Linked DNA regions of Lonchura striata. The protein of the gene in region 2 interacts with the protein of the main gene of each other region in a pairwise test. Links are inferred from orthologs where the notes say so. Each region holds a gene or a part of one and is shown on either strand. Other genes may lie near its edges. The genes, in order: PSMF1, PAK5, ATPAF2 and CCNG1.

Region 1 (7,242 bases), on a different chromosome or scaffold from region 2:
GTCTCTCCATACTCGGAGCAGGGAGCAGCGCTGCATCCCGGCTTTGCTGCTGGGGCTCAGGCAGTGAGCAGAGGCCAAGCCCGTGTGGGCAGTGCAGACAGGCAGCCCGTGGGCAGGGCGCTGCCCGTCTGGGGCTGGGACACCCCGGCAGCCAGCTTGGGACACCCCGGCAGCCAGCTGCTCCTGCTTTGATGTGGGGTCCCTCAGGCTCCGCACAATGCAGACTGGGGCAGGATGAAGCAAGGGTGATTGATTGTCTTGTTTTGTTCCTCCAAGGCTGTCCTGGACAGCTTGGATTCACAGCTGAGATCCCCCAAGAGCAGGGGCTGGCAGTGTCCACCCAGGCTGCAGGGATGGGGTTGGTGGGGTGCAGGCTCTGGCTGGAGGCAGTGGACTGGTCGTCTGAACCCTCTGTGCCTCAGTTTCCCCATCATCACTGCCCTCTTGGAAGCTCTTTGTGTCTCTGGATGAAATACATTCCCTGAGACTGTCCTCCATTACTTTCAGGTGTGCTGGGCATCCCAGGAATTCAGGTTGACAACGGGACCAGAGGAGTCCCACCAAAAGTAAAGCTCATTAGGATTTGAGCATGTTGACCTTCGAAAAATGGAGTTTAGCTCCATCCAGTTGATGAGTCACGACTCTGTTTGTGCGATGCACTCCCTGCAAGCAAGGTTTCCACCGCAGAACTAACAGGCTTTTCTGGAAAGCACAGGGGTTCTGGGTTTCCTAATTATTTTCAAACCCTACTGGCAGCCTCTCTCTGACAGGGATCACGCCTGCTCAAAGCGCAGCACTCAGGCATGTTTAGAGTCCTGAAGCACTAACTGACTTTAGCTCGGCCTCGCTGCTGAGCGCCGGCTCTCGCAGCCCCAGTCCCTCCTCCTGCCCGAGTCTGCCTGCATGTGGTTTGCATTTCTTCCCCAGAGAAAAAACCCCTTTCTCCTGCCTCAGTGTCATCTTTCCCTGGAATTGAATTTAGAAGAAATGAAGGGGAGGCCGAATTTTCATCGAGTGACTACCTCCTTTCAAGGCAATGATGGCAGTGAGGGGAAAAGTCCATTCCAGGAACCCCTGCCCCGGTCCACAGCCCTTGGCACTGGTGATTTTAGTCACAATCAGGTGGTTCCTTGTGAGCCAATAAGCCCTGAGGCACTGAGCAGATTGTGGAGGAGCTACTCCAATGCTGCTGGCTTCTCCTGCTATGCAGCAGGGGATCCCATCTTTCCTTCCTACTGTGTGATAGGAAACTGCTGCCTGCATGGAGCAGGACAGAGATTCTGGTAGAAAACATGGCAGTGCCATCCATCACCTCACCCTGCTCACCCTGGGTGATGGGGGGCTTTCCCATCCATGGGAGGGAAGCAGAAGCCTGCAATACCTGAACATCAGCCTGGGATTATCCACAGCCCCTCTCTGCCTTCTCCTGTGAGACTCTGGGTCATACCCAGCATGCATAACACAGCACAGCACAGCACAGGGGTGAGCCAGCTGCCCTGGCCGTGCTGGCAGCCATTCCCAGCACAGAGGGCTCATGGGCTGCCAGCGGGGTGGGTGGTTGGGAAATCTGTTTCCTCTTCTGCTCGTTACAACACCACAGTGGGCGCATGCAATGGGAGCAGTGAGGCAGTGGGAAAGTATGAAGGTCAGGGGAGATTGCGGTTCGTGTGATGGAAGTGACCCCGGCTGATGTAGCCTTGTACCTGCTCCAAACACCGCCGTCCGGCTGGGATAGCTCCAGCTACTGCCTCCCCTGGGACATCACCCCTAGCCATGCTCTGTCAGGGAGCAGATCCCCACAGATCATGTTCCTGGGTGAAAGAGGGAGGAAAATGGCCAAGGGTGGCTTACTTGGTGCAAGAGCTGGGTGTGAATTGGCATGAACATGTGCGAGGTATCAGGGCACTGGCTGCTCTGAGAGTTTTGCTCAGTTCTCACAGCATCGCTCCTGCTCCCAGCTAGGCTCCAGCAGTCCCTAAAAGGACATGGCTGCTCTGATGATGGCACCAGCGTGCCCGGCAGCCACCCTGACGCACTCGCCTTGTGCCGGCTCTGCAATCCTCATCACCTCCTGAGTGACTTGGCTGTTGATTCCAGCCAGGCCGGGCTCTCCGTACCTCCCACACAGTTCACAGGCCCCTAACTCACATTAGGGGGCTGCTTTCATGTGGCCAGTGGTTTTCATCATCATTAAGCCATGGAGTGAATGAAGCACGGGAGCAGAGGAAGGAGACAACAGGGAGTCAGGCAATGTGGGCCAGCTTGGCACCGTGGGTGCTGGAATAACGACTTTGATGTAGTGGCAGTCAGCCCTGGGGCCATGGGCTCAGGTATGGTAGGGCCCTGGCTCCCAGGAGGGTCCTGAGGTGAGGGGATGCATGGAAGCATCCTGCTTTCCTCACTGCTGTGCCCATGGAGAGGCTGATCAGGCCAAGGGAGACTTAGCACCAAAAGTCACTTTCCAAGAATGGTCCGGGGCAGCTGACACAACACAGTGTGGGAAAATAAATCAAGGATGGACATGGAGGTGAGGCCACAGGAGGACAAGCTGAGGGCTGGATGGGAGCAGGTAGTGAGGGGTGAGAGGGTGGGGAACGGATGGTGGGTAAACAGGGATGGCAGAAATTTGGATGGGAAATGGAAAGCTCAGCAAGCACGCAGCAGAGCTTTGGTGTGATCCTGCTAAGACACTGACAGCTTCTGAGGCCACCAATCCTAAATACCCTTTTGATCCTGCACCTGCAGGAACCTTGGCAACAGCTCTACAGGAGCATAGGGTGAGTCCAATAGCAGCAGTGAGATACAGGATTCCAGATCGTTTCTGGAGGGAGATCTGTGATTTCAAACTCTGCCTCAGAACTGGGCATTTAAATGGAGCCACTGGTAGCTCCTGGCCCACCCAGGGCCAGGCTGGGAAAGTGAAATGTGGATGTCATCAAAGCCTGAAACCGCGGCTGCTGCCCAGGAGTGAGCTGATCCATGGAGTGGAAATGCTGCTGCTGCTCTGAATCACATCTGAGTGATGGAGAAGCTCTGGCTGAGGCATTTCCTGCTGTTCCCAGCTCATCCCCATCCGATGCCTCTCTCATGGAGCTCCTGTGCTGCAATCCCGGCCCTGTGGAAAATCCACAGCAGCTTTCCTGATGAGTCCAGCTGTCTTCCCTGAAGAAAGGAGGGCCAAAGTATGGCAGGAGGTGTGGTATCTCCTGGTAGTGATTCCCATGGGACCTGCCGGGCTGTGGTCGGTTGTTCAGCCTCAGTGACTTCTTGAAGGGGAAATGGAAAGAGAGAGCAGTGCAAGTTAATTAATTGACGCATAATGAAGTCAAGATGAGCATCCCCCAAGGAGCTGAAGCTCAGATTAGGAAAGCAGCAGATGATGGTGTTTGCTGGCTTTGTCCCGAGCCCCAGCCTCCTGCCAGCCATGCTGAGGACACTGGCTCTGGCCCAGGGGCAAGGCAAAAAAAGCCCCTGAATGCCTTTTAATGGCAACTTTAATAGAATTTAGGTGTTATAAGCATTGTGGCCCAGACAAGGAGTTATGGAAGGGATGAAATAAACCCATCAATGGCTGTTTGGTGCTTTGATCCCTTTGGTGTCAGCATGACAGCTTGCTATGGCAGAACAAGCAGACCCTGCATGGACTGGACTCAAATGCTTTTCTGACGACAAGAAAGAGCCAGGAGCAGGGAAGGAGGCTCAGAGTGATTAACCAGGACGGTGCTGGATGGTGCTGGGCAGACACCCTTCACAGGATCACGGAATCCTTTAGGTTGGAAAACCCCGCTTAGATCGAGTCCAACTATTGCCCCAGCACAACCAAGACCACCACTAACCCTTCTGGCGAATAAATTTTCCCTAATATGCAAAGTAAACCTCTGCTGGTACAACGCGGGGCCGTTTCCACTTGTGTCCCTGAGCACGATAAGAGCCTGACCCCCAATGGCTGCACCCTCCTGTCAGGGCGCTGTGAGGGTGAGAAGGTCCCCCTGAGCCTCCTTTCCTCCACGCTGAGTCCCCTCAGCTCCCTCAGCCTCTCTGGTGCTCAACCCCTTCCCGAGCTCCATTCCTTTCTCTGGACATGCTCCAGCCCCTCAACGTCCTTCTTGTCCGGGGTGGCTCTGAACCGACCGCAGGCCTCGCAGCGCCGTACAGCGCAGAACGCCAAGGCCGCTCCGCGCGGCGCGGGCCCGGCGCGGCGGACGGGAGCCCTCTAGCGAGGGGCGGTGCGGGCCCGGCTCCGCCCCGGCCCGGAGCAGCCATGGCCGGCCTGGAGCCGCTCTACGCCTGGGCAAGGCCCGCCATCTCCCGTCCGCAGGACGCTCTGGTCTGCGGCATCCACTGGGAGCTGATTCGGCAAGGCTACCGCTGCCTGGGTACCGGAGACCAGGTACGGGCCGAGCCGCGCTGCGCCGCCGCGGAGGCCTGGTAGGCCGCGGTGAAGCCTCGGTCTTTCCTAGCGCCGCTCGCCGGCGCCGTGCGACCGCTGCCTGGGCATGGGGAGCCGGGCGGCGCCGGCGGTGGTGGAGGCACCCGGGCCGGCGCGGTGGCCTCAGGGCCTCAGTACTGCTGTGGAAGTCAGAGCGGGCGGCTGCGGGGCTCGGGGTATCCCGGTGCTGTAGGGGGGTCTCGCTTTTGGGAAAATGGGGGTGCTGAGAACATCCCGGTACTGGGGGCACCGAGGGTCCTGATGTTGCGGGGTGGTCGGGGGGATGTCGCAGGATAGGAGATCCTGATGCTGGTGCGATCAGTATAACTCCGGGAAGAGAGTTATTATAGTGCTAAGTGGAGCATGGTGGTGAAGCAGAACTCTGTAAGAAAAGGGAGGTGTCCAGTTCAGTGCTGAGGAGGAAATGTACTGGGGCAATACCAGAGGTGGGGCAGTCTACTTGTGGACCCAGTGTTAAGACGGGGGTCTAGTGAATTTGGATCCTGATGAGTGTCGGGAGAATGCCTGATGTGGTGTTGGGGGGTAATGGGGGGTGCAGGGCACTGTCACAGCAGAGGACTCTCCTCAGTACCACAGGAGGTGACTGTGTAGGGCACAACCCCCCAGAAGCAGTGTTGTGGGGCTGGGACAAACATGATGACAGCCTTCCCCCGTGCCCCAGACAGTTCTTTATCATGCTGAGGAAGTGCAAGGTGTGTGACAGGGAAGAGCATTGTCTCCTATGTGGGTGTTTGTGACCGCTTCCTGCTTGTTGTGTCCTCCTCTTCCAGCGCAGGGATGCTGTGGGAGGCTGGCAAGCAGGCAGGGCCAGTCTCTAGGAAATACCTGCTTGTACTGTCAAAACCTGGAAGGCATTTAGGGATCCCCTCCCAAAAACCTCAATTCCCTCCTGGATCTCCCTGTGCAGCCAAGACAAGACCCCCAGCCCTAGGAGGTCATGCTGGGCTCCTGGGCAGGGTCTCGGCAGCCTGTCTGTTCCATTGCAGCCAGGTCCTGATGAGAGGAAGTCAGAGCTGTTGCCTGCTGGCTGGGAAGCCAACAAGGAGGTGTACACACTGCGCTACAAGTCCATGGATGATGCCCATGAGCTGCTGCTGAAGGCCATCATGGTGGAGGACAGTATGATCCTCAATGTCATGGTGAGCACCCAGTGGTCCCTGTGGATGTGGGGTCCTTTGGCTGAAAAGAACATCGGGGCAATTTCTTAAATTCTTTTGCTTGTTGTGCCTGGAAGTGGTGTTTGTCCCTCAGGATAGGGCAGACCCAGGGGGTGTTTTTGGGTTAGATGTGGCCCAGCATGAAGCTGGTCAAACCCTGGCTGTGTCAGGGCAGTGGGACAATTGTCCTTGAACAGTCCAGTGCAGGAGATTCCCTGTTTCTGTCCCTTTCCCAGCTCAGGACTTCTCTGCAGCCTCCAACAAGCAGCTGCTCCAAGTAGTTTTGCTCAGTGTTCCACCCTTTGCAGCCTGAGCTGGGGAGAGGGAGCAGGGAAAATCTTGTACAGTGAGGTTTGTTCTTGGGGATTCAGGCATGGCACAGGGACATGGTGGGAAGCAGGTGAGCCCTGTTCCTTGTATCCCAAGACTGGGGCTGTTTTTGTAGCTTCTCTGTCCCTCATTCCCAGATCTACCAGGCTGCTCACTCTGCTTTATGTGCATTTTTCCAGGATCGCAGCTCTCAGAAGGTCGCAGATGTGACCTTGGCAGTGGCCGACTACATCAACCCAGAGCACCTGGACGATTTCCACAAGTAATTTCAATTTCCTGGTATTTTCTGCAAGAGCAGAATTCTACTGGCATGGAGAGGGAGGTAGAAATCCCCCCTGGGGGAGCTGGAGGATTTACTCCTCAGTTCAAAACCAGGCCAGTCCTGAAATGCAGCCAGAACTCTGTTCCCTGCCTTTCTCTGCACTGGCACGGGAGATATAGAGGACAATGGGATCGTGGGTGTGACCCAAGAGGAGAGACACCCCACCTGGGATCAGGCCAGGCCAGCACAATTATTTCCAGAGCACTGTGCTGGGTGGACACTGCCCAGGAATGTGACAGCTTCAGCCACATCCACAGTGTCATGTGCTTTCCTCCAGTGCAGGCCGGTTGGGTTGGAGCAGAAGGGAGTGGCTGGGTGGCACCTTGCCCATCTGAAATGGGGTAAAGGCTTTGGTGCACTTGTGTGCTGTTACCCCTTCCTGTCCCCTCTGTGCTGCCAGTGGGGGACTTGTTTTGTGCTAGGGACACTTTGGGCTTGTCTGTCCCCTCCCTGAGCCTGTTGCAGCCTGTCCAGCACCCCATGTCCTGGTGCCATGACCACCCCACCCCACTGCCTTCCCTCTCCTTGCTGCAGGGTGTACAAGAACACCGAGGAGCTGAGGACAAGAATCACTTCAGGCATCATTGCTCCCCTCGGGGCCCCTGCAGGAAAGGCCAGAAAGGAGCCTGAGTCCAAAGAGGATGTGCCCTGGGATGAGAACCCGCTCCGGCTCCCTCCCCGGCAGCCGATGGGAACAAGGGCCCCATCCAGGTGAGGAAAGTGTGTGGCTGCTGAGAGCCTCCTGTTAGAGGGGATGTGGTCCTGGCACAGATCCCCAAACTACACATCAGGTCCCCATCTTGCACATGTGGGATGGGGAGTGAAAAGGATCCAGACCTTCCCCAGCTGGATCAGCCTGGACATTTGAGTTTGATTTGGTTGTTGGAGAGGGATGGGCTGTTCTGGAGCTGTGTGTTGGACTGACAGGCCCAGTAGGGAACAGGCAGGGGCTGGGGCTGGGAGGTGAGGTGTGGGGCGAAGGA
Region 2 (7,723 bases):
GCTTTACATCCCAGCAAAGACAACCCATCCCAGACAAAAGCCTGGCTCTGCCATGTCAGGTCTAGGTCTCTCACAGCAGCACTCCAAGGGGAATTATTCCTGTGCCATTTCAGCAATGAAAACAGAGAGCTCAGATCTAATTCCAACCTGGGCCAAGGGCCTTCCTCTGCATTTGTGAAGGGTCCTGCTTAAAAAAAGCATCAGGTATCAGCTATTACAAATATCATGGCCTGACTTCTTGAGGAGAGAAAGGATTTGCCGTGAGAGCCACATGCCCAAAGCACCTGGGTTCAGGCCCAGATGGGCAGAGGTCCCTGGCTGCTGGCCAGCAGGCTTGGGCAGGATTCATCACATCATAGCCCTATGCCTTTGAAGGTCCAGGAAGGAGCATCAGCTCTTCTAGTTCCTGTGCAGGTGGTGTGGAGAAGAGACAGGAGTCCTTCCAATCCTATAGAAGCAAGGAGCTGGAGGAAATGTGACCTTCCCAGCTTCTCTGTCACTGGATCCACCTGGGTTGGCGTGCTAAAGCTAATTGCTACAGTCCCTGCTCTGCAGAAAGTGAACTTTTTAGTAAATTTTGATTGTTATTTCCTGATAAGACTGAGTTGATTTGCTTTCCTCCTGTCTGTTTAGTTCCTGAGGAGGCAGCAGGAGGTTTTCAGAGCACACAAGGGAACCTAGGATAATAGATTAGCTGGGGCAAGAGAAGTTTCATTGGAAGGAGGCACAAGCTACAAACTGAGAGGGATAAAGGTACTTGCTCATTCTACTGGCAAAGGAAATAGCCAATACTCTACCTGCATTAATATTTGGGTTGGTGGGTCCCACCTTAAAATGAAGTGCAGCCTAACAATTCTATTGAAGCAAGTTCAGAACTGACTTTCTGGAGGACTCCAGAAATCTGCTGTGCAAGGCAAAGATAAACTCCTGGTCCCAGGGAAACAGGCAGAGGTCCTGCTGCTTTTCAGTGACATCCTGTCCTGTCCTGGAAACATTCTCTGCCTACTTTCTGCCGTTTCACAATACTCCTCCACCCTGCTCTCTGGGCCATTTCAAGCAGGCTAGCTAAGCACTTGAGCAGGATCTGAAATAGCAGCAGGGTGAGGAGGCTGCCAGTGCTCTTCTATCACAGCTGTAGAAGTGCTTCTCTAATTAAAGTCTGCTCCTGACTTTAATTTGGGAGGTGCAGAGGAGAAGCTCAGAGAAGAAAACACAGTTGTGCTGCTGCTGCAGCTAAGGAAAGATATGGTGATAAATGAGGCATTTATTCCACCCTCACTACCTTTTACTAGTTTATCTAAAGATCAAGTCCATTATTTGAATCAAGTCCCACCCCGTGTATTTGTAGGTGATTGTCTTTTTTGTGGGTATTTCTTTTAGACAGAACAGACTTGCTCCTGTTGGCCTCTCTTCACAGGTCTCATGTTCTACACACCTCTCTGGCTTTCTACCGTACTCTGAACTTCCCAAAATCTCCTGCTCTTTTGACAGTTTCTCTCCAGCTCTGTTAATTTGCGTATCTTCCTCCCCTTCCTCTCCAAAAACCTCCTACAATACAATCACTTTGATATGTGTATTTTTTCCTTTCCTGGCATCATAATTGTTTTATTTTGCTTTGGTCTGTTGGGTACCTTGTGGCACTTGCAGACATGCTTCCAAAGCCATGGTGGCTGCTCTCTGTTCAGAGATTCTCCATGTTCCAGGCTCAAACAGAGGCAGTCCCAAGTCAGGCAGTGGTTCCACCAGTGGCATCCAGCTGCAGATCAATGGCACTGCATTGATTTCATTCGCCTCAGGGACAGGAATCCATGAGACTATTGGAGTAACATTTGAAACCATCAGCTCTAGACATTAATATTTTCCTCTGATCAATGCCAGGGTTTCCCACACGACTTGCATTCCAAGGCAGCTGCTGGATGCTTGAAGTCCTCCCGAGCTCCAAACAACATCAGGTAACTAAGAGCCCATCAGTTGGCACAGTGCACACCACTTTTTAAAATGAACAGCACATTCATTCAACAAAGTACCAGCCACCAAGTTACCTCCATTTCACTGCAAGTCCAAGCCAACCTCCCCTCAGCATAGTCCCTCCAAAAAGCTATGGCATACACAGCAGTCACAAGGAAGCTTCATTTCCCCTCATTTCTCCCAAAGAATGGAAATGATGCTGCCTGTTTTCCTCATCTGTCTGAGGATGAGGGTTTGGGGCAGCCAAGTTTGTGAAACCTTATGCTCTGGGCTTCTAAGTGTCCTGATTCAGTCCCCACTGATGTGCTTGGTCCTCATACCTCAAAAATGGAGTGATGATTCAGTTTTTCCCACAGCTCTATTAATATGACACAAAAAAGAAAGGACTGGTTTAATCAGGCGAGGAAGCAGAAAACATCCCTGGTAAATGACTACATGTTCTTCAAGATATCTAAAGCCATTTTAGGAATAACCCAAGTGCTTTGAAGAGGACTGATGGAGCTTTCCAGGATGCTGGATAATGTTTGTGTAGCAGAAAACTTATGAAATTTGTATCAAGAGCACAAAAATGTATGAAATTCATTCAGGCACCTACCCATTCACAGGAAACAGCAATCCTCTCACAGTTATTAAGAACCCCTAATTTCCTAATGGGATTATTTGGGAAAACATCCCCCAGACAACAGGGCAGCCTTTATCAGAGGCACAGGGAGGAGGAAGGCTGCAGGACAGCTCTGCAGAGCTGCCTTTGAGCCATCCCCACGCCAGAGCACTCACCCTTTACTTAATTCTTCCTGACAGCTTCCAACGTGGCCCTGACTGTGCCAGGGCTCTCAGCAAATGCCACCTCTCTGTCCAGATCCTCCTGTGCTCACCCCCACAGAAGGAGAGGAAATGAGAGGTATTGTACTTGTAATCTGATGCTATTTTGGTGGGATGAGCACAACCAGGATGTCTGTCCTCTCCTTGCACGTGCCTTGCCAAGGGATAGTCTGGATGATTCCAGTGGCACATGGCACAAGGTGACACTTGACACAAGGGGGCTGGGGGAGCTACTACTCATGGCACTGGGCTTGGTTTTGTGGGGAAAACAGGACTCACCACTGCAGTGCTTCACTGGGGCATTTCTACAGATTCTTTACTTGCTCTTATGCTGAAATGATGCAGCACGTGAATTTTGTGCTTGTAAATGTGAGGTCTGGAGGAGGCAGCCCTCCAGTGAAAGCAAACAATGAACTCAGTAAGAAGGACAGCGCAACACCTAAAGCAAGTCTGCTCTGTAATGGGAGAGCCAGAAGCTGAGCCTGTTCAGCTCCAGGCAGCCATGCCAAGGGCTCCTCAACCCACAGCCTAGCCGTGGCACAAGTGTTACAGATAACAGAGTTTCTGAACCAAAGCCATGATGGAAAAATAGGGACATAACACTTACTAGAGGAAAATGCAGTACTGGGGGGAAAATCAGACTACTGCAGCACCTAATGAGGTACTCAGTACCTCTCCTGAGTAACCCACAGCAAGGCTGGTCCCAGATGTATCACAGGGAATGGGAAAGGAACAGGGACAACAGAAGAAATATGGGAATTGTGCTATGAATATTGTTACCCAAACCCTTCTACAATTTCAGTTTTGTCTTAATCTTTATTTCTGCCCAGGAAAGGAGCAGTGCTAGAGCTCTGCTGGTGCCTGCTGAGGCTGAGTAACAGCTGAGTAACACATCTCCACTGGCTGCTGCAGGCACCAGGTAACACTCAGGAGCAATCACTGCTTTTGCCCTTAATGCTGTTTACTGTGGTGCCTAACAAATCAACTTACATGATAATCAGCACACCCTGCCTGCTAGGTCTATGGCAGACTTGGCTCCTTTGCACAGCACTCCTTTCTGTGCACAGAAATAGTTCACTGACATCACAGTGCCATGGGCTCCTAGGCAGGTCCAAATTTCACCCATGTCTTTCACAGACAGACCAGATGCCCACAGAGGAAATTTCCTGAGATGATGCCCATGCAAGGTGTGTGATGTACCCAGCAAATTAGAAATAAATCCACTCAGTCAGCTACTGCACTCTCATTGTGCTGCCTCCCAGTTCCAGATGAAGGGGTTTTTCCAGCAAGAAGCATCCTCCACTCCCACACACTGGAGCAAGAGGGTGGCAGTACTGTTCTGGGTGCCCATTCAGACTTTCCCATGGTAGGCTGTGCTCAGGACAGGATTTCCAGCAGGAGCTTTCCCACAAAAGGTTAAAGCCCTGCCAGCTCACACAGAGGTCACAGGTCTGTTCACTCTTAGAAGTTTGGTCCCATCCTGGGGTTTTTCCAGGAGTTGTCCCTCTCCTGTATGTGACATCAGAGGACACTCCAAGACTGATGAACTGAAAGTTGAAAGTCCAGACTTTCCAGAATGTTACTGCCCTCAAAGAACAAATTTTCACATTTACAGCAAGTTAGATCAAAGACAGTAGGAATAAAATGAAAAAAAAGGATTACTTCATTCTAAGGTTAATGGTATTTTGTATCTTTTATCATATCCTAAGAGTAATTCAGTTAATCTACAAAATAAGAGAGAACTCTTTAACTCTGCCCTGTTTTCTGTTCCCAATAAAAAAGTCAGAGCAAATTTTTGTTCCTCCTCCAAATAGCTGCTCTTTTAAAAAAGACTACAAAAGTTGGAAAGAACTTTCACATCTTGTAATCTTGAAAACTACCAGTCTTCCAAGTGCATCCCTTAAGCAGTGACAACAGCCCTTGCCATCCCAAATGGCCCCAGATAACCGAGTAAAGGTCTTTGAAATTCTGCCACACATAAAAACGCACAGTAACCGTACAAAGTCAGTACCTAGAATAATGAAGTGAGATGGGAATTTTTACTTTAAAATGGAACTTTTAATTACTCTGTGCTATAGCTATTTAAGCTTTATTTTTTACTGTGGTATTTTGGGAGCCAGATAAAGTGTCCTACTAACCCCAGAAAATCCTGTGTGCTCACCATGACCCTGAGCCACCCTGGCAAGCCTGCAAGGATTTCCTACACACACCTCACTGCTGCTCCAGCACAGGCTGGGCTGAAAATATTCCCTCAGGAGGGGCTCTGTGTTCACCGTCTGCCCCAGCCCAGCAACATGTTTGCTTTTAAACAACCAGCAATTAGTTCATCTTCTATTAGGAAGTATTATCTGTATTTTCTGCAGGGATTCCCTATGGTTCCTCAGCTAAGCAAGCAGCATCAGAGCTCTTTTTCCTTGTGGATGGGCATGTTATTAGCATATAAAAATTGCCTTAATGAATGCTGAGTATCATCTGTGAGCCCAAACGGGGGGCAGCAGCAAGGGCTGTGAAAAGGTCCTGTGAAAAGGCATATTTTCTCCCAAATGAGCCACACAGCCAAAAAACCCAGTTCCAGGCAGGAGCATTAATAAAATGCTTATTTTTTAAGAAACCTGACAGAGACACAGATTGCAAAACTGGGAGATGGGTGCAGGTTGCTTTCTTTTGATACTTTTTACTTACTAATAATAGTTTTCTGTACCACAAGGACCTCAATTGTTCCCCTCCAGAGCAGCCCAAATGCAGAAATACATCATTAGCTTTGGTGGCTCTGTTCCCCTGCTCTGATTAATTGTAACCTTTCCTCATACTTGATCCTAAATGAGAGAGTATGAATTGAGAAGCACAAATTAAATTAGTGTGTCAAGGCAGCCTGCAGAGCCAGCGCTCCAGACAAATGTGAGCTGGGCTGAAACTCAATCTCCAGGAGAAAGCCAATGTCTGCAATGGACTGATGGCAGCACAAATCTCTGAAGAGATCCTCTGGATGGGAGAGGTGAAAATGATGATGGTTCTTTGGCTCACATCAGTGAGAGCTCCTGCTCCTTCCTGAGACAAGTGGAAGGAGACCAACACATATCTGTGCAGCTATACACCTAATATACATTTAATATATTTACTATACTTAATAAAACTATTAAAAATTAGAAAATTTTTTGTTTTTTTTTTTCTTTACTAAGGAACAGCAACAGTTTTGTGTTTTCTTTCTGTTTAAGGATTGTTCTGAGCTTCTCGGCAGGGACCCTCTGCTGCTGGCTGCAATCAGAGCATGAGCTTCTTTTGCAAAAAAACCTGAAGCATGCCCCTGACTGCAGGCTTAAGTTTTAAGAAGAATTTATCTCTATTTTAAACTGAAGATACAGAGGGCACTACCTTATTTTTCAGGAGATAAAACCAGAAGCTACACCTGGAAAAGCAGAGTGAACTGAATAAGAAGACAATAAAGTTCATGGAAAGACTCTTAAAAACCACACTGGTTTCAGGTCAGGTTTGACTCACTACTGACAAAAGGAGAAATCCTGTTTGACTTTCCACATACAGTGTTCCTAAATGCTTTCCTAACTCCCATAGTGTCATTCTGGATGGATGGAAAAAAGATGGAAAAAAATGGGAAGAACCCAAGAAGCAGGGAGCACCTCAAACCAGGGGCAGGTGAGTCCTGTGGTCATGTCTTGTATTTATTTATTAAGTTACTGCTGTTAGCTAGAGGGAGAGCTCATTACAAGGGTTTGTTTTTTTTTTTTTTTTTTTTTTTGTTTTGTTTTGTTTTGCCATGGGAATAGACAATGTGCAGGCGAATGCTAGGTTGGCTCACCTGTCTAATGAGGGACCCCATGTCCCATGATCCCTATTCATCCCTCTGCTCCTCATTATGATTTGAGCATTTCAATTTGGGAACAATAAAATAACACCTTAGAAAATGTTCTCACATACTCTACTAATGATGATTTTAAACACTGACCCTCTGGCAGCAACAAAAAGGACCTACAAATCCTGAACAAACAAAGTCAGCTCCTATTTTGAGTCTTTTACCATTCTGGTAAGATCTTCTGCACACAAATAATGTACTGACAGAAATTAATCACCTGTGACCACATAGTTTTTCCAGACTATTCTTTCAGTTCAGTGAAAGTATAGAAGTATAATTTCCAGTGCATGCCTGTGTAAGTTTCAGAATTAAAAGCTTGATGATCAATAGGATTCAACTAGTTATCTGGATTTTCAAGGTGTCTGGTATTTTTTTGAGATGGGTCAGACTTCTAAGTAATATAACCACTATTAAAATACATGCCTTAATCATGGAAAGAGATGTACTGATGGCCTAGACCAAGAAAAATGCCTCTTTCCCAAAGCCCCTCATCTACCCTGCAGCATTCTGCTCATTTCAACCTCAGGTCAAATCAGCCAGTTTCTCAGAGTTTCTGTGTCACTGCTCAATATAATAAAAAACCATTTAAACAATTACAAAGAGTCCAGGACTTGTCATTGTCCACAGTTCTTTTCAACCCACAATACCTTGTTTATGGTTAAAAATGCCTTCATTTGGCACAGCACAGCAGTGTGTCTCTTGATAGCTGGCCCATGAGACATATCTAATAGAAATGCACAACGGAACAAAAGACAGGAAAAATAATAACAAAAGCCCCTGTATGCTTCCAGAGAAATAGTAAAAGCTGGTACAGAGTGGCCAAACTGGGATTGATGTACTCCAAGGAACAATACTCATTCTTCTTATTGAAAGCTACTCTTGTACGAGACTCATTTCCACACACTGACTGACGTGCTTTCCTAATTTAGAAGTCTTGTGATTCCCAGGGGATTTTAATGCTCAGTAATTTTCAGCTGAGTAGCTTAAATGCATATATTGTAGTCAGTCACTCTCTATTATCTCATACACATGCACACATAAATAGCAACGTGGAGACAGAGGTTT
Region 3 (7,010 bases), on a different chromosome or scaffold from region 2:
CAGGGACCTCACAGGGAAGCAGAAAACTGAGAACAGAATGAGTTTTGAGAGTGCAAGAGATCAGTTTCAACACCTGTCCCCTGCAAGCCAGAAGCCCATTGCAAAACTCGGAGTCAGAGCCTGAGAATGAAGAGAAGGCTCCAGGGAGTTCTCACTGCAGCTTTTCAACACCTATGGGAGCTTATGGGAGAACTGGAGGGAAACTTTCCAGCCAAGGACATGGAGTGACAGGAAGAGAGGGAAAGGCTACCCACTGCCAGAGGGCAGGGTTAGATGGGATATTGGAAAAGACATTTTTCCCTGTGAAGGTGGGGAGGCCCTGGCACACAGTACCCAGAAAAACTGTGGGTACCCCATGATCCCTGGAACTGTCCAAGGAAAGGACTTGGAGCAACCTGGGATAATGGGATGTGTCCCTGCCATAGGCAGGAGGATGGAACAAGATGAGCTTTAAGGTTCCTTCCAACCCAAAGCAGTCTATGGTGACTCTGTGATGATCTCAGCTGAAGAATGGAGCTGCAGACTGGCCAGAACATCAAACACAGGCCCCACACAGGGACTGGAGGCATCAATTCTCTCATCCTCTGCAGGATCACCAAGCAAGATTTTCCTGTTGTGTTTTTAGCCATGACTGCAGTCCTTAAGGACACAATTAGCTGGCTAGACAAGAGTCATACTGGAACTTGCAAGTACAGTGGGTTTTGGGGTTGGCAGGGTGAGATCTTCTATTAAACCATCATAGCTGGAAAAGCTCTGAGACATCTCAAGTTTCTGTCAGTGCCTTGCAAGCAGCTCAGCAGAGAAGGAGACAGGCAGGGTTTACCTTCCATCTCATGAAGACATAGTCCCCATTTTTTAGATCTTCATAATCAAAGTCATCAGAGTTAAATGTTTTTGCATACTGGTAAAAAGCTTGGAACTTTCCCTGAAACAAAACAAACAACAACAAAAAAACAGCTCAGGATGTTTATTCCAGGAATAGAACTTCTAGTACCAGCTGCTGTTTAGGAGGGAAATCTACTGACACTCACAGCAATATCCAGCCTGGCTGAAGAAGCTCCTGTACTTCCAGAGGAGGATATTTTGACAGAAATACAACAAACATCAAAGCTTGGCAAACAACAGCCAAGGTCAAGGGCGGGGGGGTGATCAGGTGGGCTGCTGTGGCCTCACAACACAGCAACAGGTACACCCTGCCCTGAGCAGGGACACAGGTACCAACTACTCTGCCTGTGCTTGTGGGATCCCTTTCCCCTTTTCCATTCCATTTTGTAATAAATCTCCAAAACTAATTACTGTGTTCTCTTAGGGGATCAAGAGACAGGGATTGCTCCTGCTTCCTCCCAACCCCGAGGCAAACAAGTAGAAAACAAAACATCCCTTCCCTCATCACAGATCACAGTTTGCTGAAGAGACCTTTATAAATAAAGATCCCAGGGGAAAAGGAAGGAGACAGCAAAAAGGTCTCCAGGCCTTTCTGCCAGCTCTTGCATGGGCACACACTGCCCCTCTCCCCCAGACCAGCAGCCCAGAGCCACCCTGTGCCCCCAGATTTATTTACCCAGTGTTTACGATCCACGTCTTCGTCGGCATCCCACTTGCGCGTTAGGAACGGGTGTTTCTTACTGATTATCTCGCCCTCGAAGAACGTGGTGAGGGTTGGGTACTCCTGGCAGAGGGGAGACAAAGGTGGGGTCACAATAGTCACCTACAGGCACAAACTCAAGAGCAGACAAAGCTCCATGCACTCAGCAAAAAGCATCTCGCAGGGAGATTGGGCCATCTGAGGCTGCTGCTCCCATCCCTCATCCTGCCCCACACCTCTCCAAGCTGACTCTTCCACGCTCTTATTCCAGCCTTTCTCTGCCTCTCTCTTCATTTTATGAAGCCAGGAGCCACATCAGAGCTGGGCTGCAGGGAAGGATTTGGAACATAAGCAGCTGAGGGGGCTGCGAGGTGGGGGTCATGCTCTGCTCCCAGGGAACAAGGGACAGGACAAGAAGAAATGTCCTTAAATTGCACTAAGGGAGGTTTAGATTGGATATTAAAAACAATTTAAAAGAGTGGTTAAACATTGGAACAGGCTGCCCAGGGAAGTGGTGGACCTGGCTGGGTCCTGGGTCAGTGGTTGGACTCAATGATTTCAGAGGGCTTTTCCAACTGTAAATGATTCCATGGAGCTCCCAGCTGGATGATCACCTGTGGCATTTACAGCCAGCACCACTCCCCAGCTGATCCCCTTTGATCAAATCTACACCATGCTCACACCCTCCGCTTCCTATTTCTGGCAGCAGCTTCTCTCACTCCACCAGGAAAAAAAAAAAAAAAAGCCTTCACAGAGCCCCTTTTTGTGCTGTTTTGCAGTTAACACTCACCTCTGTAAGGCCTTTAATCTTCAAGTATCCACAGAGATAGGAGTTTTCCATATCCACATGCTGGAAAAGAGTGCAAAGTCCAACCATAAAAATAGGCATGAAGGTGCATGCTTGACCCAAAGCAGTTTCTAACCCTTCCAAAGATAATTTCAGCTCCAGCTGGTACCCACTGCCCAATATTCACAGCCCTTTTCCATGATGGGAACCACCTGGAAAGATCATTTGCAGGTGCCCAGCTCACCTCTGGCAGCCTCCACATCCCAGGCCTGCTCCCAAGAACTCTGCAGCAGGAAGCAAATCCCCTTTCCAGCAGGAAGGGATCTGATTCACAGTATTCTCCAAGAAAAAGCATCCCTGGAAGAATCACCCACACCCCCGGCATTTTACAAGCCTTTCTCCTAAATTTAAAGCTTTTATGCCACCTGCATTTTGAGTTATCAGGCTGCATCTCTCTGCCTGTGCTGTGCAGAAATTAGGCAAGGATTTGCCTGCTCCTTTAAAAGCAGGGATTTTCCAAGGGGTTTTTTCTTTTCTCTGAGATCTAGAGTGAGTTATTCAGGGAAGTACAAACCTCCACCCGTGAGAAGATGGATCTTCTCCACCTGTGATCAAAGGACAGCAACGTTTCCCCGTGCTCAGCACAGGGAGAGCAGGCAGCCCCCTTCTCTTCAGCTGACACATGCAAATCAGCCACGTTTTCGACAAAAAAAGCAGCGTTTTTAAACACAAAACCACAACCAGCCCCTGCGAGGTGGCAGCGTGCAGCAGGGCACAAATCCCACCAGAAACGTGGAGAAATGACCATAAAAAGCTTAGAATCATCACAGAACCACTGAGGTCGGAAAAGAGCTGAGCTCATCCCGTGACTGATTCACCAGCACTAAGTGCCACGTCCAGTCTTTCCTCCAACACCTCCAGGGATGGTGATTCCACCACATCATTAAGTAGGATATTCTGATGTTTAGAGTGATATTTTCTGCGACAAATTCCTTCTAATATAGAGGGGTAGGGTGATGCGGGTGCTGTCACAAGGGGCTGGCAGGGTGGGAATGGCCACCGCGACCTGAGGCGAGCCGGGGTTCCCCCGTCTCGCCTCAGGCCGCGGTGGCCATTCCCACCCTGCCAAAACCAGGCTCGCCACGCCGTTCCCCCTCACCTGCATGACGACCTCCACCTCGTAAGCGTTGCCTTTGCTGCGCTGCTGCCCGCGGAACTTGGCCCCGCTGTAAAGAAGCGAAGTGGCCACTCCAGGCTGCGCCGTGTTGATGGGGGGTGGCGGTACTAAGCTGCTGGCGGCCGCTCCGGTAGCAGGGGAGGAGGATGAACCTCCCGCCCCTCCACTGCGGTGCCTCTCGCTCCGAACCGGCATCTCGGGAGGGTCCCCGGGCGCCAGCGTGGCCGGGGCCGGGGTTGCGGCCGGGGGGACGCCGCCCGCTCCGCTCCGCTCCCTCACGCCGCCGCCGCCGCCGGGTCGGGGCCTCCTGGCAGCGCCTCGGCGCGCGTGCCTGAGGGGCGTCCCTTAGCTCTGATTGGCTGCTGGCAACGACGCTCGGGCGTTGATTGGTTGCGGTGCCACCCGGCGCTGCTGGGAAATGTAGTTTCTTTTTAAATGGAGGCGGCGCGGATTGGTTGCGGCCGGCGGCAAGATGGCGGCGCCCAGGGAGCGGCGCTGAGCGCGGTGCGGACGGGGTGGTCGTGGTGGTGTCGTCTGGCGCGATGTGGCGCGGCTGTCGCCGGCTGTGGTGGGCTCGTTCCCAGCCCGCTCGGCTCCCCAGAACTCCTCCTGCAGATGCTGGGAGCGGCCCGGTGGGGTCATGTGGGCGCCGGGCCTATGCCCCGCCGACAGGTGAGGGAGCCGCGTTTGGGGAGGGGGATCCTCCCCCGGGGACCCTCATGCCGGGGTCACCCAGGGCAGGGCGGGGATTAGCACGGCCCCGGTGCTGGAGTTGTCCCCGGCGCCCTTTCCCTGGTGTTAGCCTGTCCTTGGAGCGGGCAGGGTTCGCTGGCAGCACGGCCGAGCCCTCGCTGAACCAGTTTGTTACACTTGTTTTTGTGTTTTGTTGGGTTTTAGGGATTTTGAGGGAATGGGACTCAGACCAGGGGGTTCAGGTATGTTCTGGCTCACGTATCCCATCACGTGGGTTTAAAAACAATAAAATTAATCTCATTTTGTCGGAGGTGAGGCTGCAGCGTCGCGGTGACTCATGACAAAGTTTTGGGAGTCACTGATGAGCCTCGGGGCTCCTCTGGGGTACACACACTTTAATCTGTTTTTAGAACTGTGCCTGAGGCCCCAAAGCTCACAGGTCGCCGAGCCTGAGCAAATCCTTCTATTTCCTCAGTGGGAATGTGCTGGTTTTAGCCTGGAATAGCAGACCCGCGGCCTGGCCTGTTTGCTGTGTCCTTCACCAGACAGGTTTATGGGTTTGGGATTTACAGCCTGCTTGCTGTTGTCAGGGGAATGGCTCGTGGATTCTTCCTGCCTTGTGGGAGGGGTGTGAGCCTTTGGGATGGGTGTAATCCTGCTCTCACGGCGGTAGGAGTGCTGGTAGCAAAGGATGCTGCTCCTAAAATGAGACCTGAAGTTTCCTCAGGCTCATCTTGTTGGTGGAACAGGTATATTCCTGAGCTGGACTGAGATGTTTGGGCTGCAGTGTCCTTTGAGGGTTAATTTATCCAGTGTAACTGTAATTGTAGAATCTGGAAAGGTTGACCCTGAAGCAGAACTGAGGAGAGGTGGGACAGGCCTGCTTGGGAAACCAGCCCTGCCACACTCTGAGGCAGCTGAGCCCCCAGCCTGGCAGGATTGGAGCTGGTTCTCGTTGCTCCTGGTGCCTCCCTGCTGAGGGGAGCTCACTGCAGCTCACAGCTTGGAAACTGTGGAAGAAGGGCTGGATTTTTGTTACCACGTCGACAGCAGCAAAGCTCTGTCTGTTCTGAGCTGTGATGGGGAGCAGGGGAAGGCATTGAACATTCTCTGTTTGCCCTCTGAATGTTCTCTTTGCCTTCTGTTTCTGTCCCTAGAGAGGAAGAGGTTCTACCAGAACGTGAGCATCTCGCAGGGGGAAGGTGAGTATGGCCGATGGGATGGGATGGGGGAGCTGATCCCTAGGAGAGGTGTCATCACCCCACCCCACATCAGCACCTGCAGCCCAAGCTGTGTCAGTGGCAGGTTTGTCACCAGCTGCTGTGCCCCCTCCTCATCTACAGCAAAGCTGCATGGTGGGAACCAGCTTCCAGGACCAAGTGTATCCAAGTGATGGTGGGAAACCTGAGTGTTCCTGGTCTCTTGCTCCTCTCAGCTCTATAACTTTGAATCTGCTCCTCCTGTGGGGTTGTCTGTTGTTCCTTAGTGCCTGCTCCTCTTTGATTCCCCAGGATTTCTACTCTGATTCCCCAGGAGGCTTTGAAATAAACCTGGACCACCGAAAGCTGAAAACGCCCCAGGCCAAACTCTTCACTGTCCCCAGCGAGGCCTTGGCCATTGCAGTGGCAACAGAGTGGGATTCCCAGAAAGACACCATCAAGTTCTACACAATGCACCTGGTGAGCATGGCAGGGTGGAGTGCTGAGACCTCCAAATGCAGAATGTGGAGGCAGCAGGTTGTCCTGCTCCTAATGAGCAGAAAGGACTTTCTCTGGGCTGGCCAGGTGCCTGTCTAGAGGGAATCTGTGTCACTTAGGGGAACTTGAGAAGGGGCTGGACAGTGTTATTTGGAATAGTTAGGGGCAGGAGGAAACTGAGCTCTGGAGCAATCCTTGGCCCCTCTTCCCTGCTGCTTAATAAGCTGCTTCCAGGGATTCTGAAAGATTTGAGAAGACACTTATTACATTAGCCATTTTGTAACCCTGCACCCCTCAGATCATTTGCCACAGATCCCTCTGCTTCTTCTTGGCATTGTACCATGGAAGTTGCTGCTTTTTCAAGCCTGGAATAACAGCAGTTTCAACTGCTTTTATCCCCAGACCACTCTGTGCAACACGGCGCTGGACAATCCCACGCAGCGAAACAAAACGCAGCTGATCCGAGCAGCTGTGAAGTTCCTGGAGACAGACACAGTCTGGTAACGAGATGGGGACCCAGCTGGATTTTGGAAAGAGGGTTGGGTAAAGTGAGGGAAGACATCTGCACTCACCCAGTCATGGCATGGCTCTGTGCTGGTTTTTGCCTGAGGGTTTGAATGTGCAAACCTGGTTGCAGTCTGTGCACCCAAAGAAGGAGAATTGGATTTGGTCCTCTGTTGAACTCCGTTTTGGACACCTCCCTGCTGGGCAAGGGTGAGATCAGTGGGAAATGAAGATCTTGGAGAAAAGAAAACACCTTTGAAAGGCTTGTGGGGCTCTGTCAGCCAGTCCCTGGTATTCCTGTGCCAGTACAGATAGCTGAGACTACTTGTAGCAGTCCCAAAATGCCCTTCATTCCTTAAAGTCCCCATGAGCTGTAGCATCAAGCCTGTTCATGCCCAGGCTCCTCCACTGGCAGCTGCACAGTTCCTGTGGAGAGAGGAACAGGCTTCCCCCACCTGCCCCTGTGGCTTTGGTCAGACTGGGTGAGCAGGGAATGCTGAGCTGAGCCACTGGGCAAGGAGAAGCAGGAGTGGCCCCACAGAGAGTTGCAGTGGGGTTTGTACCCTC
Region 4 (7,265 bases), on a different chromosome or scaffold from region 2:
AAAAAAAAAAAGAACATTTCCTTTGCAATATATAATTTTGAATTTTAATTTAGATAACTCAGACTATTTACTGGCAACATAAATATCCATATTCATGACATCTGATTTGCTATAATCTTTATTTCTGATGTGCTGCATCTGTGAATACTTGAAGCACTTGAGTTTGCATTCATGGGCAATTATATGGGAATGTCATCCAATAGCAACAGATTGATTTACAGTTTAGACTTCATAGCATCAAAAGACAATTCATTTTCCCTCAGATGAGCTGTGGCATGAGACCTGGGATTGATGCTTCCACTCTCATTTTTTTAACAAATTACTTTTTCTTGTCTAATAGACTGTCAAATCAAGGGCATTATAATGAGGGTCAAACCAGTGCCTTTTAGATGCATTCTCTCAGTGCATCTCACTACTTTGCAAAGGTCAGAGGAAGAAAGGGAAATGGACAGCAAGTAGAAACTTAAATTTCATCCAAGTGTTTTGGAGGGGAAAGAGGCACAGGTATGGTATTTGGTCATTTCACCTTCACACCCCAGGACTCCCTCATTCTGACTTCCACTGAGCCGTCCAGAAATCCAAGCTCTTGTTATGAAAAACACATTTTTCTTAAAATTCTCTGCATCTCTAACTTCTAGTCTTGCCTGTCGGAAGTTATTCTGAAGTAGAAAGGTTCTTTCAATAAAACAAATTTTAGTTAATTTCACAGGTGATAGGAAGAATCAAACAAACCCACAATAAATCTGTGGCAAGTACAATAGGAGAAAGTAGTATGAATATCATGTTTAATGGATATATTGAGTAAATAAAGTGATAAAGCTCATGGATGCATCAAACAGTCCCTCTCTTACAGTTCTTCAAAGGAAAGAGCACAACAGCAGAGGCTTCCCAGAGACCTGCTCTCTCATCATCCCCTCCTTAGGTGACAACAGAAAAATGAGTATTGGTAAGGACAGCCATTAACACAGGGAGGATGAGCCAAGTGCTTTTAACATTGCCTAATTCAAAGCAGCTCAGACGTTCCTTTGGTGGCTTCTCATTCTTGTGAAAACACACACAATGTCCTTACCATCTTTTTTTTAACAGATAAAACCCCACACATATGAACATCTTTTACTGAACAAAAATACCTTATAGCTGATCTTCATTAGCAACGTTTCTCCAAGGCATACAGAGATAATGAAAACAACTGCAGTTTCCCATAGTTATAAAACAAACACCTGGGAGCAAATCCAGCACACTGCTCATTTCAGGCAGAGGGGACCAGAATTTATTCACACCAGTCACAGTTGTCCCACCACTTAAAGTGCAACTCAACCTTCCTCTGTTTCAAAGGGAGGCATAAAGCACTTGAGAAACCAAACTTAGGGCAAGTGAAAAACAAACATGCTCAAAAGCAGAGTATGTAGAGACAAAAATCCAACTTTCAGGCTACACAGGATGACTTGGCTTGTGCACTTAGGTGTGACCATCAATAGTGCTAGCAAAAGGTGGTGCCAAAAATGCTTGCTAAAAGTGAAATAAATCACTCAACCTTTCTTTCAGGAAGATTTTCCAACATCAAATAAGCTGACAGACTTTACTGAAAAAAAAAAGTATTCTTCTCAGGATAATTATCACCTAGGCTTTATTGCAAACTCAGTCTACCTAAGATAATTTCTAAAAAACCATAAAATCCACTTGGATTTGAACTCTTTCTTGCCCTCTTGAGATGCAGAGCACCTCTTCCCATCAGCAAGATGTGTATATGTTCAAAATCTGCATCGGTACTGATAAAACCAGTTTAGAGCTATATATCACTTCATGTATTAGTGACATATACCAATATGTATTTTCTTTGAAGAGGGAAAATAATCAAATACAGCTAAGAGGTCTGCCTTACTAAAAACCTTGCTTTTCAGAAAAGGTTAGTTCATTCCTCAGGAGAATTTTCAGCCTTTCAAGCAATTGACAGTAACTTTCACAAAGCATCTTGAAAATTTTAGGCTGAAGTAGAAATAACACTTCAACACTTTTAAGAAAAAACTAAAGTACCTTGAACCCATTTGAAATACCATCATAATGGTTTGCAAAATGGATTCTTCAGCCATTGTTCAGTATTTTTAAGGAACTGGTAATCACTTTGGATAAAGTAGCACATAATGGAACACATTGAATAAATAAATGTCTTGGGCATCAAGCATGCCCAAACCAAAAGCGCTTTACAGTACGCAGTTCTCTTTACTTGCCTAGAGTCAGTTCAGGAGTGGAGCATTTACAGCTCCTGGAAGAGTTCTCACTGCTGGTTTGAGTGTTGGATGTGTCACAGAAGGATTTTCTCTGGACTCCCGGGCTATGTGTGGATGAAAAGATTTCTGTTGCACATCCTGGCTAGAATAAAGCAATGCCCTGATTCTCTAACACTAGAGAATCACCAAGTGTTGTTGGAGGGTTTTTGTTTTTCCCGCAGGTGACAATCTCACCTTCTATGAATATGTTATTTGGGCTGGAAAGCATTAAAGACATGAACCCTTTAATGTCTTGTACTGCAGAGGTTTCAGTCATGCAGGAGGTGAGAGCAGTAGAGGACCTAACCCCACCAGCCTTCAGCCCTGGGGGACAGCATCTGCCCTGGCCTGGAAAGCCAGCCAGGAGCCACCCCAGGGCTTGGGAGCCATTTATGCTTTAAGAGCCATTTGTACTGATGCCTTATCAAGACTGACAAAGCCTAGAACAGAGGCTAGACAAAGTTAAAGAATAAAGTAGGGATTTATTAAAAGGCCTCAATGGATCCACCTTGAGTAGCACAAGAGCCCAGCCACGGCTACACTCATGATGAACCCAAATGGTCACAAAAAAATGGACAACTGGTCATGACGTCTCTCATTTTATAAGTACTGGTCCATTTCCATATTGGAGCTAATTGTCCAATTATAGCTTTAGGTTATGAAGTCCCATCCTTCTTGTTTTTATCTCTTCAGTTCACGTTGTTGTCCATGCTCTTGGGCCTGAGATCTGGGTGGCCATCACTGGTCCCAAGCTAGCGAAGGAATTGTCTACCTACTCCCATGAAAAAAACTTACCAACACTTAATATGAAGCTCAGAACTGCACACTCAAGAAGCACAAAACCTGAAAAACACAAAAGTTAAAACCTAAGGCACTGATACCAGGGCTGGGTGCATGCTTGGGGAGCTCCCATTGACCCAACGAGTGAGACCATCACAGCGGCCTGGTCCGGGCCGGTCTGGGCCAGTCCCTCAGTGGCCGGGCCAGTCCCTCATTGCCGGGCCGGTCCCTCATTGTCCGGCCGGTCCCTCATTGCCCGGCCGGTCCCTCATTGCCCGGCCGGTCCCTCATTGCCCGGCCGGTCTCTCAATGCCCATCCGGTCCCTCATTGCCCGGCCGGTCTCTCAATGCCCATCCGGTCCCTCATTGCCCGGCCGGTCCCTCATTGCCCGGCCGGTCCCCCGTTGCCCGGCCGGTCTCTCATTGCCCGGCCGGTCCCCCATTGCCCGGCCGGTCTCTCATTGCCCGGCCGGTCCCCCATTGCCCGGCCGGTCCCTCGGTGCCCGGCCGGTCCCCCGTTGCCCGGCCGGTCCCTCGGTGCCCGGCCGGTCCCTCGTTGCCCGGCCGGTCCCTCATTGCCCGGCCGGTCCCTCGTTGCCCGGCCGGTCCCTCAATGCCCATCCGGTCTCTCATCGCCCGGCCGGTCCCCCATTGCCCGGCCGGTCCCCCATTGCCCGGCCGGTCCCTCGTTGCCCGGCCGGTCCCTCATTGCCCGGCCGGTCTCTCAATGCCCATCCGGTCCCTCATTGCCCGGCCGGTCCCTCGTTGCCGGGCCGGTCCCTCATTGCCCATCCGGTCCCTCGTTGCCCGGCCGGTCTCTCATTGCCCGGCCGGTCCCTCATTGCCCGGCCGGTCTCTCGGTGCCCGGCCGGTCCCCCATCGCCCGGCCGGTCCCTCGGTGCCCGGCCGGTCCCTCATCGCATTGCCCGGCCGGTCCCTCATTGCCCGGCCGGTCTCTCATTGCCCGGCCGGTCCCTCATTGCCCGGCCGGTCTCTCGGTGCCCGGCCGGTCCCTCATTGCCCGGCCGGTCCCTCATTGCCCGGCCGGTCCCTCAGTGCCCGGCCGGTCCCCCGCTGCCCGGCCGGTCCCTCGGTGCCGGGGCCGCCGCTCCGGCCGGGGGGCTCGGGGAGCGCGCGCGCGCGCCCGCCGCAGGCGGGGCCGGCTGGGGGGGCGGGGCCCGGCGCGGCGGGGCCGCCAGAGGGCGCCACTGCGCGGGCGGGGCGGCGGCTCGGGGTGCGCGGCTGTGCCCGGCAGTGACCGCCCGGCCCCGCCGCGGACACTGCGGGCACCCCGGACACTGCGGGCACTGCGGGCACTGCGGGCACTCCGGACACTGCGGGCACTCCGGGCCCGCTCCGGCCCCTCCGGCCCGCCCAGCCCCTCCCGGGCAGGGAGCGGGGTCGCACAGACAAGGTAAGGGCGCGCGGCCGGCTCCCGTCCCGCCGGCTGCGCGTTTGGCGTCCCCGTGCCGTGTCCGTCCCGTCCCTTCCGTGGGGTGAGCGTTGTCCCTCTGTCCGTCCATCCCCCGGCGGAGCGCGCAGGTCGCTCGTCCTCCGGCAGAGCCCCGCGGCAGCGAGGGGCAGGCCCGGGCATGTCCCGGGAGGCGCCGCCCGCCGCGGGGCCGCGGTGCCCCGGGGGTGCCCCGGGGATGCCCTGGGTGCCCCGGGGGTGCCCTGGGTGCCCCGGGGATGCCCCGGGGGTGCCCTGGGTGCCCCGGGGGTGCCCTGGACGCCCCGGGGGTGCCCCGGGGATGCCCTGGTTGCCCCGGGGGTGCCCTGGGTGCCCCGGGGATGCCCTGGGTGCCGTGGGGGTGCCCTGGGTGCCCCGGGGATGCCCTGGACGCCCCGGGGATGCCCTGGGTGCCCCGGGCGCTCCGTGCCTGTGCCCGGCTGCCGCGTCCTGGCCGCACAGTCTGGGAGCTTGGGTGGCTTTGCCGCGTTCTGGTTGTCTGGCTGACGCTGTTTCTCGCGGCAGATGATCGATACCCTGGCGAGCGGCGCGGCTCGGGACCCGGCGCTGGAGCTGCCCGCGATGCTGGAGCAGGAGCTGCGGGCTCAGCCCCGCGCCGCCGGCCTCCGGCTGCTCGAGGCTGCCCACGACAATGGCCTGCGAATGACCGCACGGCTGCGGGACTTCGAGGTGAAAGATCTCCTCAGCTTAACTCAGTTCTTTGGCTTCCACACTGAGACCTTCTCGCTAGCTGTGAATTTCTTAGATAGGTTTTTGTCGAAAATGAAGGTAAGGCATTTTAAAGTATACGCTCAGCCTAGTTCCTAGTCGAAGCTAGAATGTCTTGGGTTTAGATAAAGGTTAAGTTGCTTCCAGACATTCTTGATTGTGCGGAGCTAAAAAATTGTGTTCTCCGTTCAATTTTTGATATTGTTAAGAAAGGTGTTTTCTGTAGAGAAGGAGAAACTAAAGGATGTCGATGGGATGGGAAACAGGAGGTGTTAATAGCTTAGACCAAGAAAGATTGCCTCTCCTGTTGCATAGATACAAAAACATGTTAAATTACTTCTCATTTAACTGCCTTTTCAACCCTATCAGTCAGCATTGTGTATATCAAAATGCTGTTGAAAACTTAAAATCTGGTCAAACATTAGCGCTGCATTCTCCCGTGCGGATGTGACATGCTGACCTGAGTTGTTTTAAGTTGTCTTAACAAGACAGGATTACCGCTGTACAGTTTGGACAAGAACAAAAGCTTGTTTTCCTTGTGTGTGCAAACAAAAATGGGAAAGCTAGATGGAATGGATGGGAAAATGATGATTTAAAAGACTTGTGAATCCAGATGAAGCAGAAAAAATCAGGACTACATTGTCTATGGAATAAAATAAGACCATTTATATATACATGTATGTGTGTGTATATATACTTACAATAGAGTTAGAAACCCCCAATTTTTTACTATCACCCCTAATATCTACAACACTTTAAGTCCTAAAAGCTTCATATTAGGCTATTTTAGAACCTTATTAACAAGTCAATTCTGCCTCAATCAAAATTGCTCTGCAGTCTTGCTTTTTAGATGAATGAGATGCAATTTATGGTATGTAACTGTTTTTCCATTTGCTTAAACAAAGATAATAATGTACAATAAAAGACTAAGTTTTCAATCTCCAAAAAACAAAACAACCCCTCATCCCCCATAATTATTTGATGAAATAGATTGGTGCTTACAGTTAGATACTTGCATGTTGTAATAGCTGATCAGAGGCTTTCTTCTTTGAAAATAACAATTCACTTTTCTTTAGGTACAGCCTAAACACTTGGGCTGCGTTGGACTCAGCTGCTTCTACTTGGCTGTGAAGGCATCAGAAGAAGAGAGAAACGTGCCCTTAGCCACTGACTTAATTCGAATAAGCCAGTATAGGTTCACTGTTTCTGATATGATGAGAATGGAGAAAATCATATTGGAGAAATTGTGTTGGAAAGTCAAAGCTGTAACCACCTTCCAGTTTCTACAGCTCTATCATTCATTCATTCATGAGAATTTAAGCTGTGAAAGGTACAATAGCTGATCCTGATTTTGCTATAACTGCCTAAGACCAGAAAATACAGAATGTAGAAAAGTAAGCAGAGAAATTTCTTGGGTAATTAGCCTTTCTATACTTTAAAAGTCCCACAAACTTTCTCCCCTACTGGTAATAGTCATAAATGTGAGCATCTGTGATTTTATATTATTGAAATTTTAAATATTGCTTGCCTAAATGGAATATTGCTTCTCTGAGTTGAAAACCAAACTTGCTCAATAATGATGGTATAATAAATCTCTGCTTATGCTGTAGTGAAGTATTGCCTCATTGTAAAGATTGCAAAATCTGGTTTAGAAAAGATTCCTTTTGCTAGTAAGGACTGAAACTCCTTGTTAAGCCTGCTTTGGTAATGCAACTCTTCCCCAGTGTAACACAAGATTTATTTTTGGCATTGGGACTGCCAAGACTGAACACCTGTTTGAATGTAACCCCAGAAGTTCTGGGGCAAATGAAGACTTTGTTTAGATAATGAACATTCTTGCTACTTCTCTTGAGTTTCCCAGAGTGATGCTCCCTTGATCAACCTTTCATTCCTCTAGATTAACTCATCTGTTTTTATTACAGGAGAAAATACCTTAATTTTGAGAGACTTGAGACCCAGCTTAAGGCCTGTCACTGCAGAATCATGTTTTCTAAAGCCAAGGTAAACATCTTAAAAATTCAAAGAAAATTAAACAGCTG

Evidence for each region.
Region 1: the proteins of PAK5 (region 2) and PSMF1 interact in binary tests that used the Homo sapiens proteins (3 or more experiments, as listed by UniProt). The two-hybrid records come from large-scale screens. The link is inferred for Lonchura striata from reciprocal best matches to the Homo sapiens genes PAK5 and PSMF1.
Region 3: the proteins of PAK5 (region 2) and ATPAF2 interact in binary tests that used the Homo sapiens proteins (3 or more experiments, as listed by UniProt). The two-hybrid records come from large-scale screens. The link is inferred for Lonchura striata from reciprocal best matches to the Homo sapiens genes PAK5 and ATPAF2.
Region 4: the proteins of PAK5 (region 2) and CCNG1 interact in binary tests that used the Homo sapiens proteins (3 or more experiments, as listed by UniProt). The two-hybrid records come from large-scale screens. The link is inferred for Lonchura striata from reciprocal best matches to the Homo sapiens genes PAK5 and CCNG1.

The regions. Positions count from the first base shown.
Region 1 is NC_134619.1:7,399,597-7,406,838, reverse strand, and holds the start of PSMF1 (proteasome inhibitor PI31 subunit), read left to right. Parts: upstream 1-4,226; 5' UTR 4,227-4,261; coding exon 4,262-4,390; intron 4,391-5,436; coding exon 5,437-5,589; intron 5,590-6,116; coding exon 6,117-6,199; intron 6,200-6,793; coding exon 6,794-6,970; intron 6,971-7,242. UniProt on the Homo sapiens protein: Plays an important role in control of proteasome function. Inhibits the hydrolysis of protein and peptide substrates by the 20S proteasome. Also inhibits the activation of the proteasome by the proteasome regulatory proteins PA700 and PA28.
Region 2 is NC_134605.1:23,652,405-23,660,127, reverse strand, and holds the start of PAK5 (serine/threonine-protein kinase PAK 5), read right to left. Parts: upstream 3,014-7,723; 5' UTR 1,840-3,013; coding exon 1,632-1,839; intron 1-1,631.
Region 3 is NC_134618.1:15,651,593-15,658,602, reverse strand, and holds the start of ATPAF2 (ATP synthase mitochondrial F1 complex assembly factor 2), read left to right. Parts: upstream 1-3,998; 5' UTR 3,999-4,091; coding exon 4,092-4,221; intron 4,222-5,399; coding exon 5,400-5,444; intron 5,445-5,775; coding exon 5,776-5,921; intron 5,922-6,341; coding exon 6,342-6,439; intron 6,440-7,010. Other genes in the region: GID4 (glucose-induced degradation protein 4 homolog), read right to left, coding at 824-925, 1,562-1,669, 2,376-2,435, 3,532-3,744. UniProt on the Homo sapiens protein: Plays a role in the assembly of the F1 component of the mitochondrial ATP synthase (ATPase).
Region 4 is NC_134617.1:12,010,552-12,017,816, forward strand, and holds the start of CCNG1 (cyclin-G1), read left to right. Parts: upstream 1-4,262; 5' UTR 4,263-4,461; intron 4,462-5,022; coding exon 5,023-5,286; intron 5,287-6,302; coding exon 6,303-6,556; intron 6,557-7,148; coding exon 7,149-7,227; intron 7,228-7,265. UniProt on the Homo sapiens protein: May play a role in growth regulation. Is associated with G2/M phase arrest in response to DNA damage. May be an intermediate by which p53 mediates its role as an inhibitor of cellular proliferation.